Drosophila melanogaster: one gene and its partner. The protein of the gene in region 2 interacts with the protein of the main gene of each other region in a pairwise test. Each region holds a gene or a part of one and is shown on either strand. Other genes may lie near its edges.

The links.
Region 1: the proteins of CG14717 (region 2) and Fnta interact in a two-hybrid assay, tested with the Drosophila melanogaster proteins (one large-scale study listed by BioGRID).

The regions. Positions count from the first base shown.
Region 1 is NT_033779.5:4,826,545-4,832,232, forward strand, and holds Fnta (farnesyl transferase alpha subunit), read right to left. Parts: upstream 4,150-5,688; 5' UTR 4,064-4,149; coding exon 3,925-4,063; intron 3,857-3,924; coding exon 3,496-3,856; exon of another isoform or gene 3,436-3,495; coding exon 2,940-3,435; 3' UTR 2,670-2,939; downstream 1-2,669. Other genes in the region: CG15628 (uncharacterized protein), read left to right, coding at 1-19, 81-556, 629-1,028; Ir25a (ionotropic receptor 25a), read right to left, coding at 4,424-4,817, 4,873-5,388, 5,460-5,688.
Region 2 is NT_033777.3:11,692,639-11,700,578, reverse strand, and holds CG14717 (uncharacterized protein), read right to left. Parts: upstream 4,071-7,940; 5' UTR 3,934-4,070; coding exon 3,013-3,933; 3' UTR 2,252-3,012; downstream 1-2,251. Other genes in the region: Fer3 (48 related 3), read left to right, coding at 6,353-6,491, 6,558-7,006.

The DNA of each region.
Region 1 (5,688 bases), on a different chromosome or scaffold from region 2:
CCCAGGATGCACGCTTGCGGTGAGTTTGATCCTTTGGTCATCCCTAAGACCTAGTTTAACTAATAAACTATATCTTTTAGCCGCACAACAATATATACCAAACGCTAGGCATATTTTGTCCATCCGCACACATCGAGCATGTCGATATGCTGCGCACCGAAGATGTACTTATAGATTGGCAGAAGCCTATGTACCTGAACTTTACGCACATCGCCATTATGAATCGCCTGGATGACTTCTACTCGAAGTTCGGTGTGATGGAACGACTCAGTGGTGATATCTACGTGTGCAACAAGCTGAACGCCGACCTGGAACTGGAGCCGCTGCCGGAGGACGCCGAGATGCGTCTGCTCAATCTGGATAACGTGCAGGGCATACATGATCTATATCCTGCCAATGAAATCGAGTGCGTCCAGCTGTTTGACATCCTCGTGCGCAAGCTACCCGGCCTGGGCATCTTTCGCAAGGAAACCGGAGAGCTAGCCGCCTGGATGGTCCATTCATACTACGGTGCCATGTTCTCAATGCAAACACGTCCAGACTTCAGGCGCATGGGGTGAGTAGAGCTACAGATTCCTTCTGTAAACTGCTCATTTACTGATCAAACAATGCATTTATTTTCGCACAGCTATGGAATCCGTCTGGCCAAGTCGCTGACCCAACTGGTGATCGAGCGCGGCTACACGCCCTTCGTGGTGATACGTCCTGGTAACGATGCGTCCCGCAGTCTGTACACGAAGCTGGGCTACGAGAAGGCATTCGAGACGTGCCGAGTGCGGATGACACCGGACTGCTACGAGGACAGCACCGTGGGCACCATTAGCAACACGTCCTACGGAAAGTTTCCGCCGCTGCCGCAGGGCGACTGCGTGGTGGTGACCAAGTTGCGGCGCAAGCATGTGCCCGGCGAGAGCCAGACGGTGGACGAGGGCATCGAGGATATGTTGGCTGAAAAATGTGATATCAGCGGCGACGAGGCGAGGGAGCGCAAGACCACGACCGACGAGGGCATCGGGGAGGACAAGTAGGCCAGGTTGGGTTAGGGATACGAGATGCGAGTTGAATGAGATTAGAGATCGATCGGAGCGCTACGCCCACGCAGAACTTATGCTTAAAGCTGTAAGCACCCATTAGGACTCTTTAGGACAGACAGGACATGGCACACATCAGGTGGCGTTGATTTTTTAAACAATTATATTAACGAGAAAACCAAGAAATTGTACGAGTATATTTATAGATGGTATATGAAGCTTCCTCAAACAGAAAAAAGCGGCGGCGTCGATTGGTGAATGCGGATATTTCGGCCAGAATAATCAAGGGATTTATTTTATATGGGTATTGATTAGGATTCGGTGACAAGAACTAAACCTTAACCAGGGGAATTTAAACGATCAAGTGAGGCGCTGAAGTCAGACATTTTAAATGGGGAATCGAGGACAAAGAGAGAACATTTTTAATTTTTTGCTAAAAATGCTTTTACAAAAGTGAGCTCCAAGAACGAGCAGAGAACAAAAGCCGAGTGGGGTGGCTCAATGCAAATGCAAATCAAGGAGCGCATCAATTTATTAAAACTATTATATATATTAACTCTATATATCAAATTGTTAAACGAACTAAACAAGCAACATACACCAACTACTTCTCTCTACTGGCTCGCCACGCAAAATCTCTGAACAGGATAATCTCGAATAATCTCGAAACAACCGAAAACCGAAAAACACACGAAAATCTCTCGCTTGGGCCATGGAACAGAGCTATGCACAATTTCCTCTATTTAAAGAAGCCGTTTCAGAATACTACATATATATATTTTTCAAACTATATTGAATACTTTCGATGACCCAAACGAAGTGCTTTGATTTTAAATGGTCGCGTACCAACCAAACATATTTGGATTTATAGGCTTTTTTCAAATTTATATATATACATATAAACCCAAAACCCCATGAAGGGAATACGAAACGAAGCGAAAACCAAACAAAAATACAAAATAAATATATATTTTACTATTACGAAATTTTATTAAACTACGCAAACGAGTACTCAATGATTTTGCTCCTATTTAGCTGAACTAAAAAGAAACAAACGAAATAAAAAACACGCCAAAGATGTCTTCTGCTTCATTTTAAGTACATAGCCCCCAAACCCGATTCCAAATTACCAATTCCTGATTCCCACTGGCCCCTTGGATGATTTTCGATGAGAATCTGGATCATCTTTGGTGGCTTTCGATTACGAAAATGCAAAAACCGAATCTCAATATGTATGCAAGAAAATCAAATTAAATGAAAAGTTATATATTACAAACTGCTATATTGTATGTACTCGAACTAAAAAACGAATGAGAAAAAAAAAAACAAACACAAAAACCTAAAAGAAGCAAATTTAAATAAATAACAATATTGAGACAGCACACTGAAGGTTCTTTCCGTCTCTGACGAAAAAGATAACGATTGCGATGGCAACTAAACGCAGATAGCTGAAGGTAAAGATAGTTTTTGCTCTAGAAATATTTTCTTGAGTATTTACGATACTTCCCACATTCATTTGCAAACAAAACAGAAGCTCTTGCTAAAGTCCAGCATTAAAAATATTAATTGTTTGCATAATTTACAAGCTCACTTTAGCCGCCGACTGGCCTCAGCTGGCGCAGACACTGCGCTAAAATTATCTGCTCATTGTTAATGAAATTTACGTGTGCAAACACAACAGCTCACTTAGATAAACAGAGTCGGACGGATGCGCGGCAAAGATGAAGACAGCCGCCCATCAGGGCATGTGGCAATGTGTAGTATGTGACTGGGGTTTTGCAACATTCTTGGCGCTCAGCTCACTTGACGGTAAATTAAATTTTATTTATGTATAAAGAAGAAGGCCTAAGTACGTCGTATGTGGCTTAAAACTAAGCAATAATGGATTTGTAACCTGGACAACTGCTGCTACTTCTGTTCGACCGTGCTTAGCTGGTTCTTCAGATGGTTGGCCACATACTGCCAGTACTTGCGACGAATCACATCGTGTTTGGTGGCCATGTCCTCGCACAGACCGTACACCTTGCGGGCGAGTTGATCGCTATCGCTGGCCTTTAGTTGGAGCGCCTGCTCCTGGTAGAGATCGATGAGGAAGGCCAGCAGGTAGGGCGATCGATTGCCAGCCTGGTAGAGCTCCTCCACAAAGTCCACGACATCCGGGTAGCTGCTCAGCAGGGCATTTCCACTGTCGCCCTGCCGCATCACGCCCACCAAATAGTTCCAGGCACTCTCGTTGTTTTTGATGATGCGAATGCGATTCATCGTGTACGACAGTTCGCGCTGGATCAGCTCCGGCGTGAATCCAAAATGCTTGATCACAAAGAAGCGCTGGTTCCAGGCCGAATTGTTGCGCTGATCCTCGCTAATGAGACGATCCACAAAGCTAAGTTCATCGTCATAGAGACTAAAAGTAGTGGACATTAATTTATAGAAAGTAAATCTTAATAAACATACGACTACTCACTTAAAGCTGCGAATGGCCCACTGGCGATGTTGCCAGGCGTGGTAGTTCTTGGCATCGCCATCGTTGACCAGGGCGTTCTCAGTAAGCTCCAGCTCGTTGCTGGGATCGTTCAGCATCTCGACGATGACGCGACGGTGGTGCCAAACCTGGTAGTTTTTCGAGTTCTGGCCAATCACCTCGGTCAGATAGTCCAGTTCCGCATACAGATCAGCCTTTAGTTCGCGCAGAACGTCGCGTCTGTATTGCCAGACCGTGTAGTTAGCCGGATTCAGACGCAGTGCGTCCGTGGTTAGGTCCAAGGCACGTTGGCTCTTCTCCCCCCGCGCAATTATGGCCCTCATGTAGTCGAAGACCTCGCGAACTACGATGTACGGAGATATTTGCTCAGATAAAGTGACATCCAGAGATAAAGCCGCATGCATTACTCACACTTTTGACTGTAAGCAATGGACACCACCGGATTGGGACCGTCGTCCTGGGCGAGCGGTTGCACATCTTCCCAGTCGGAGCGTTCGCTGTAAGCCAGCCAGTCCGTGCCCAGATATTCCTCATCTGAACTGTCTCCCATCGCGGTTAGTTAAAAACAAAACTGTTGAGCGCGGGTGCGGGCGGAATTTTATGTTGTTCTTTTTTGTCCGAATTTATCGGGCCTATCGATATCGGGGGCGTTTTATTGTCCGAACCTATCGGTGTCGATTTCTCGATAGCAGAAGGCGGTATTTAATACTAAACTAGAAATACCAGCGGCTTTTGAAATATTATTTGAAATTCAAAAATAATAAATACAAAGGTTTTACAATTATTTTGTTTAAACATTTATTAAGAGTTCAATAAAAGTGCACAAAGTGACTGATTTCTTTAAAACTAGACGTAGACATCCGAGTGCTCATTTTACCATAATATTCGTTTCATTGGTATACGAGTAATTCTAGAAACGAGGCTTAAACGTGGCCGGATACTGATTAAAGCGCGGACGCAGTGCAGCTTTTGACTTCTCGAACTTCTCCCCCGAGTGGCCAAGGATCACACCATCGACCAGCTTGCCAGGATGGTCAGCAGCATTGGATCGCTCCGCATTGGCTTCGGCCACATCGATGATCCGCGGATTCTTGCGGTACCTGTACCACCAGTACTCAAAGACCAGCGTGATGCAGGCCATTCCAATGCCCACGAATATGACAATGAAGACGCCGCCAATGTTCTGGATCGAGATGCCATCCGATTGATCCTCCGGCTTATCGCACTTGGCCAGAGCTTCGTCGTTCTTCCACCACTTCTCCTTGAGCTTCTCCAGCTGTCGTTTGTTGAGCAGGGTCAGGATTCTAAAGCACCACAACGATATGAAGAAGCTCACATCTATATTTTCCCATTACTCACGCATTATTAAACTGATCCTTGAGATGCGATCCCTGCTGAACAGCTATGGCATAGGGTTTCCGGGAGAACTCCTCGCCCACCACCTGCAAATCACAGTTGGTCAACTGCAGGTAGCGTATATCGGTGGCATCGCCCAGAAAGGCAAAACCCGTGGCAGCTGTCGAATTTCTAACCCGGGCCACCGCTTCGTCGAGGGTGGCCGGTAGCTTCGCCTCCTGCATGGCCTGCCACATCTTGGTATACTTGTCGCTCACTGGATAATCCCAAACAGCCAGCTTGGAGCGCTCCACGGCGGTCAGGGAGTCGTTCAGCGACAGATCCTTCCAAATCTCGTAAAACATCTGCTCTATGTTGGACATACGCTCGAAATATGTCATCGCAGATGAGCCATTCAATGGAGCGTATAGGATCTTGTACTGCTTCGCCAGGTCATCCAAGCTTTCAACGGGCGTATCCAAACGTGATACGGTCAAGAAGGCAGCCAAATTGGCCGTGTACGAAGCAATAATGATAAAACTTAAGGGAAGAACAAAAAAACTCTTTTAAAAAGGAAAGAGTTTACAAGCAAATGAAGAGCAACTACCCACCCGAATAGCCACCAGGTGGCGGCCACTAAACGGCCAGACAGATTCTTTGGAGCCTCGCCACCGCCTTGAGGTGTCAATGAAGTCATGCAGAACCAGAGGCACTCCTTCAGATTGAACTCGCGCTTCTCCTCGTCGTCCTTGTACTTCTCTCGATTGTTCTGATAGCTATAGGGACTCCAGCGATCGAAGATCCACATGAGAAAGCTGGTAAAGAAGTAGGCAGCCAGGA
Region 2 (7,940 bases):
AGCCTACTTGGCAGCCATATTTTTCCAATTCAATCAAATGGCAAGCCAATTTAATTTCATTACTTTTGACTCGAAAAAATGTTGGTGATGTGTTTATCCACATCAAAACAATATAATCCGAAGTATTAATAATATCATTGCTGCACACAAAAACCAACATATCAACCGTTTGTTGCCAATGAATATATTTAAAATAAAATCGACAGCGGCAGGATTAATTTAATTCAATAATGTGGAATTTACTGAGTGAAAATGTATTAATAGCCAAAGTAAAAATGCAATATGGACATCGAAATGGCTGGCACTTTTACGTCCACACCTTTCAAGGGATTTGACCTGGTTTTTCCATCCGTAGTCCATAGTTAAAAGCGCGAAGAACTATGCAAATTTCCGTGATTGGCGGCTAAAACTCTGGATGCCACTTTCGCAGCTCACTGATGACTTTGCACTTCGCTTGTCGTCGTCTTCGGAAAATTGATTCATAATTTCTGCACATTTTCACTTTAATCAGCAAACTTTGATTACATTTTCGCAGCGTGAGATGGCGCAGAAAAGTACCTGATATCAATTTAAAAGCTTCGAGTAGAACTCCCATAGGAATCTGAAACTTAAGTTCATATTTTTCGAAGACAAGACTCATCCATGGCCGGGCCAATCACGATGAATCAAGATGACTGGTACTCATCAAGCCAATTAGCTGCCAATTACCCCACTAATGAGCGACCACATTAACCCCACAAAGGATCCCGAATTGGAGGGCAGTCAAGAATAATGTCCTGCCAACGGAGCGTGGACTCTGAAGACATGTTTATTAATATCCCGAACCCGAACTCAAGGCCGGCCACCCTGATAAACGAAAGTGCCACGTTTGTCGCCAGCTCGGTTCGGGGGAAAAAAAAAGGAAACAACATTTTCACCAGCAATTGGCTTTTATGGCCGCCGCCTCTTTACGACCAAGTCCGCTGACCTTATCATCAGATTCCGGGTTCTCGGATCCGGTGTCCTGTACGGAAGCTCCTGTTTCATTAGCAGCCCCCGCTGCTGTGGTGTCCATTTCCAAGAAAGGAGGAGGGTCAGCATCTTCAACAGCAGCAGCTTTACTTCAGAGCGGCAAAGTTTTGCTTTAACCCGTCAAATATTTCCCCCGTTGAAATGAAGTAATGAAGCTGGGAACCGCCGACACGAAATTAAAAATCAACTGTCTTGAAGGGAAAACAACAGCGAAATGGAAACTGTTGCCGGGGAAAAGTTCCTATTCCGTTGGTGGAAAACTTTTTGTGCGCTCATAAAAATCGAGACAGGGCAAATTGTCTTCCAGTATAATTGCACAAAAGTTTGACTTTGAAGCTCGTCCGTAATTGAAAAGACAAAAGCGCAGCAAAGCAATTGGCCCGGAATATAAGCTGGTATATGTATGACTACGCTGCGTTCGGTTATTCTATGGTGTGGCCAAAAGGGATGACTCTTCATCAGCATCTCTCGGTGCACACGCACTGTGTGCAGCATTCATGTTGTCTTTCCTTCCATTTGCAGCAAAGGCGAAGTAGGAACAGCTAATGAATTGGCTGCCTGCTGGAGCAGAGTAAACACGCAGCACAGCTCAGCTCAGCTCAGCTCAGCAATCTACCTGAATAAACTGACACGAATCGGAAGGTGCAGGTGCGCATTGGGTATCGAAAACACCTATCCACCTACATATCTGCCAATGAAGTATGAAGTATCTGCATCCCGCACAAAGTCGAATTAATGGAGGGGGGCGTTGAAAATCAATATTCATAAAATGTAATACACATTTAATTGAGATGAATTGCACGCATTCAGCATAGGCTGCAATCCATTTTAATGGAATGAGTGCACTTAGGTATTTAACTGTATTATACTGCACTTCTACGGGGCACGGGGCTTTATAAGGATATAATACCCCAAGTCCATCAGCAGCAATTATAGCCATTTATACTCATAGATTTGGTTTTGTTAAGCATTTAACGCTGAAATAGTTTTAAACATGTATGTATTCAGCTGGGGTAATTCGTTTATTTCCAGGAAATAATATTGTTTTATCAAATCTCCCAGGTGAAGTTAAGGTCAGGACCGCAGGCCTCATAACATAGATGTGAATGGGAGTAGAAAACCCTGGAAGTTGAGCCACAGTGCCACAGTGCCACAGCATTTTGGGCTTATGCAGCTGCCACACATAGAGGCAAAATAACAAGCAATAAAATGTGTACGTGTCTAAATTTTAATATGGTTTCGGTACGTAGTGCGTACGCACATCCAGTTGAGATGGTATGTACATTCATTGCGGAGTGTGTGGGAATGTGTGTGTGTTTGCCAGTCCCTGTTTATTTGACTTGCTACTTATTTATTACGAAGCATAATGAAATTTCACGTAATCCTCATTAAAGCCAGAACAAAGGCACGGAGTTTGGGCAAACAACTTCAAGTCGCTGCTGCTGTGTACATTTGCACATTCAAATCTCAGTCATGACTCAATTTCAGCAATAAGAGCTGCTCCGAGGTGTAGATGAGCACCCCACTCGCCGGGACACAGATTATCGACTTTTGAGGCACGAGCAGACACACAAAAGCCAGTCAGACAGACGTCTCCATCGCCCACACGTCCAATACAAATAAATCAGACAAAGCATATAAATCTAAATTGTATCGCATTGTGGCGCATTTCACCTCACCTTCGTCTTCAGCTGCTTTATTGGCAAATTGGCGGGTTGAGGGATTGGCCTTTGTGTGCCAAACCTCCTGGCTTCCACTTGGAGCACCTGTATCGGGTACTCGGTATCGGTTCGATTGCCTGCCACGTTGATTTCCCATCGATTTTGGCAACAGCCCGCCCGCCACAAATGGTCATGCCATTCAGCCCTTTTTTTCTGCGGTTTCCATTCTGCTGACAGCGCAATTATCGGTGGAGTATATTGAGTGCTGAAATATCAGCCAATATAGCAATGCCAATTTTATATAAAAGTCACTTTAAACGATAACCAAATAGGTGTTTCTTCAACATACTAAGCATGTTTGAGTAAACTCCACGACTAGTTCAACAAATTGTTCCGGCTGATCCTCATACACACAGTGTCCAGCATCCAGAATCTGTACCACTGTATTTGGAAAGTATCTCTGCATCACGGCAATACTGGTCGTGGTCACGAATTCCGACTGGGAACCGGCTATGAGCAAGACTTCGCCCATGTAGGGACGCAGTCCGCCCAAAGTGGCCTCGTAATTGATCATCATCTCCCCCCAGGAGCTTAGGACCGCCTGGGGATTAACTGCCCAGCCAAAGGTGTTGTCCTGCATCTTGCGCAGATTGTAAATAATGCGACGCAGCTCGGAGGCGTCGTGGACCACATCCTGGAACAGTGGCAGGATGAACGTACGCCCCTCGGAAAGTGATAGATTTGAGGGAATACTGGGCGCCACCTGGAGCATCATCTCGAACACCTGCCGAGTGAGATAGAAGTTACTGGGCACCGGTGCTGGTGTGATGTCCACCAGTATGACCCGCTCGACGAGTTGCGGCTGAGTGAGTGCCAGTGTCATCATTGCCCGACCGCCCATTCCATGTCCAAGTGCAACGATCTTGTTCAGTCTCTGGTGGCTCATCAGGGCCTCCACGTCGGCGGCCAGGTGCATTGGCGAATGCCCGGTTATGTAAGGACTAAGGCCATGATTCCGAGCATCCACGGTGATCACCTGGCGCAATCCAACCTGACTGAGGTTAACAGCTACCTGGCGCCAGGATTCCAGTGACAGATTGAGGTCGTGCATCACCACAATTGGTGGCGCCTGCATCTGATTGCGCGGCGAGGTGTAGGAGACATACTCCAAACGAGTGCCCTGGACAAATGACTGGAAGTTTCGCAGCACTTGGGCTCCGCCTTTGGAAAGGATCGAGCCGAGAAGTCGCTGTCTTGCCATGGTTTCCGAAAATTTAGAATAGCTGTCAGTTCTGCAGGGAACTACATTAAAAGCTGGGTTTTCTTTTGTTATCCATGTAAAAATGATTTCTTTTTGCTAGAAATTCAGAGAAATCTCTACAATTTAAAAGTTCAAACGAAATCATGCTACATTTTAAAACTTGGCATACATTGATTTATTCAGTTTCTATTGACAGTTTAAAACGAATTCTATCGAATGTTACAAAGAATAAATCAAATCAATACTATCATAGTAGTTGTGTTGTTTTCAGTTTAAAAATATCGTAATGGCATACATCAATGCGGTTGTTATTCCTTGCCATTGCATAAAAGCAACACTTTTATTCTCATATTTATTTATTTCAGACAACATCTCGAGTTGTACCTTGGGATATTCCGTATACGCCCCGTAGCGTCCGTCGTCTCGGGACACAATGGTATTAGCCGTAATCCACTGGGGCTAATGCTTCGTTTAACGCTCCGGAGTCGGAGTCTAAGCGCTTTTATGTCGCTTACAATTGCGGCTGGCAGTGCAAATCCCCAAATTGCGTAATAAATAAAATGCATTTGCGTGGAAAATTAGGAAATGGCAGAAACAGCTCTACGAGAAGGGGGAGTAAATTCAAATTTCCACATTTTCATATTTTACATTTTTACATTTTCATAATGTGAGTGCGCTGAGTTTGCCATCACAGAGGGCATAAATCTTGGCGAGTGCTCAGACACAGAGACAAACAAATGGTCTGAGACATTTCTTGTTACTTGAATATTCTTTTTTTTTGGTGCACAAATCGTAAGATGAAGTTCGTTTGTTTTTGAAAACCAAGCCAACGGACGCCGTCTAATGGCTGGAATAGAAATGAATGCAAATTTTCAAACTATTTTTACCCGGAATCCCTCGCTTTTGAACTTCGATTTAGCCATTAAAGTGGGTACACTTCATGGCAGCTGTCTGTCTTACTGTTTGACAGTATCGAAGGCACTTCATATCCAATTTCAGGCTATTGACACAATGAAGCACCCTTGAGTAGTACTCCGCTGGCTTGGAAGAACATAAAACGAACTAAATAAATAAACTGGAAACCTCATTTGGAGCCATAAAAACGAACTTTCGAATGCAAACCCACAGTTGAAGTCGTGTTTTGCCCCTTTTCCAATCAGCCCCATTGAAAAGTTTAGCGACAATGAAATCCTCCGAATGCTGGATACGACCCCCCGGGGAATCAGACCTCCGAATTCCCATCAAAGGATTACCTCAGTCTGTCAGCGCATTCCATTCTAAGCCTTGGACGCTGTCCTGTTGCCACGCGGCTAAATACTTGCCCGAATTGGGGGAATGCCTTTCATCTCCATAGCATCAAAATCTTAGAGAGATTCCGATTGGGAGCAAAAAGCCGGCGTAATTATCCGCGCAGGTGCACTGAACCCTATTCAGCAGGAGAGCGGAATACGCAGCAGGACTCCCAGAGAGTCACTTATAAACAAAAACAAATGCATGCAACAGATTGGAGGAGACTAACGGCATAAATGCTATTTCGGTTGAATAACTTAAATAATAAATGATTTGACATTGAATACAACTAAGCAGAACATTTTTTAAATATATATAACCTTAGAGAATTTCTAATTAACAAAACTAAAAAACTTAAAATTTAAAAGAACTTTGTGACAGGTTTAAAAACCGAGTTGCTAACCGGTTATTTTCCGAAAACGGTTCGTGTCACGGCTGTCTCGAAAGCACTGTGTATAATATTCAAGACATCCACCAGCAGCACATAACCGTTTCGAGGGTTGGAGTAGTAACTAAGAATTCTCTTTGACATAAGTTAATAATATTCTAATATGCTAATATTAGGATTCTAATAATATTCTAATATTCTGGAATGCTTGTTCTCTTTGCCACAGTCAAGAACTGCACAGCTATTTTTGAATTTATACAATATGTTATTATGGTAAAAAATAAATTAAAAATTTGTATTCCTATACCAAAATATACGTAAACCGGTTATTTGAGCGTGCTAAGTATTAGTCTTAATCCAGTTCAATTCATTTGGTTAGCTATAGGTAACAATAGATTATTATCAAAAAATCTGCAAATTGGTTAAAAAAAAATAATTTTTTTATTCAGTACGATATGCCTGATCTAATCAGATTTGAAAGTCAGAACATCAGATTTCACCTCAACAACCCCCCAGCAAGGACGACCAATCGGATCGCACCAAACTGTTGCCAATCCAAAATGGCCTCTAAGCAGATGCTGCCATCCGCCGGGGAGGAAAATCCAATAAGCAAAATTCGGAACAGCACCGAGCTGACTTCGCAGCCCGTGAGGACAATCAGAATTTATTGCAACACAGTCTTCCAAGCAGAACAGACCCAAGGTCTTCCAATTGCAGTATCATCCAATACAATAGACAGTCATGCAGCATCCACATCCCATTGACCAGCCCACCTACATGCCGGATGTTCCATTCCAGCCGCTTTGGGGTCAGGAGGCTCCACCGCCGCCCATTGTTCCATACCAAGAGCTCATCGCCGGTTTTCCCTGCACCGACTTGTGTAAGTACCTCAAACGGAATTTGGAATTTGGAATGGAAGTGCTTAAGATGTTTTTCTATTCTAAAGCTCTGTGGCAGCGCTCGCAAGTAACTCCTTTGGTGCCCCAGCGTCCGTCGACAAATGGGAGGGCCAACGGCTCCTCCAGCTCCTCGAAGAAAACGCGTCGCCGTGTGGCATCAATGGCCCAACGGAGAGCTGCAAATATCCGCGAACGCCGTCGCATGTTTAACCTAAACGAGGCCTTCGACAAGTTGCGCCGCAAGGTGCCCACCTTCGCCTACGAGAAACGACTGTCCCGCATCGAAACCCTTCGCTTGGCCATCACCTACATCGGATTCATGGCTGAGCTGCTGAGCGGCACGCCCTCGAACTCCCACAAATCGCGGTCCGACGTCTATGGGAGTATGAATGGTCACCATCAGGCGCCACCACCGGCAATTCATCCACATCATCTGCATCCGGCGGCGGCATATCAACGCGATTTCGCTTCGCCCTATAATCATAGTTTGTCCTAGTGACATTTCTCAGGAAATCCAATATTCAAATAAATGCTAAAACTGCTTCTCGTCAGATCAGTTTTGTTAAAATATTGTAATTATAGGAATAGATAAATAATGTTTTCTTAAAACTTTATATATTGTTTAAAAAGCAATAGAAATATTAAAAAATATTAAAAAGAAAGAAATTTATTGTTTCAAATGTAATTTCTTTAAAAAGTGAATTATGACTGGTCACATGAACATCAAGAATTTATATTCATGGGAGCAATTAAATTAGCCAGAACATTGAATTTTTGCACTTAAATGGATACTGTAAAAAGATATTTTTTGTATTGCAGTTATTATTATTATTATTTGTGATAGAAAAGGAAAAGGAGAGGACAATTAAACAAAATCAGTGGATAATCCAATTTAGTTTTCGAAATGGTAAACAAAGTGATTGTCTAAACTGGGTGGTGACTTTAAAGCCAAAAGTACCACCGAAGTACACCTGATAATCCCCCTAAGTAGAACCCGCACTTGTTTTAAAAAAAAAAACCCAGCCAAAACCAAAGCGAACCATGTCGTGATTTGCGTGCGAATTTGTGCAGCTGGAAAGGCAACACATGCCCAGGTCCATTCGGTGGTCCCAATGAAGTCACATTGCATACAAATCACGAATGGAAAGAAAACTATTATACAAAATTTGACAAGGCAAACAAAGCGTGAAATTATTATTAATAAATTGATGCACTCGGAGGGGAGATGCCAAAAGGGAGGACGGCAGTTCAAAGTCAATTGTAGCAACCCCTAACCAAGGACAACCCAGGAACAAGTGTAACACTTGAGGGATTCCCCGCAACCGGGCTAAATACCAAGGAATTTTTGCGTTCAACGCCCATCGCGAACAGATTAGCGCCCTTTTTTCCGGGCAGCAAATTAATTCGGAACGGATATTGCATGGACATTG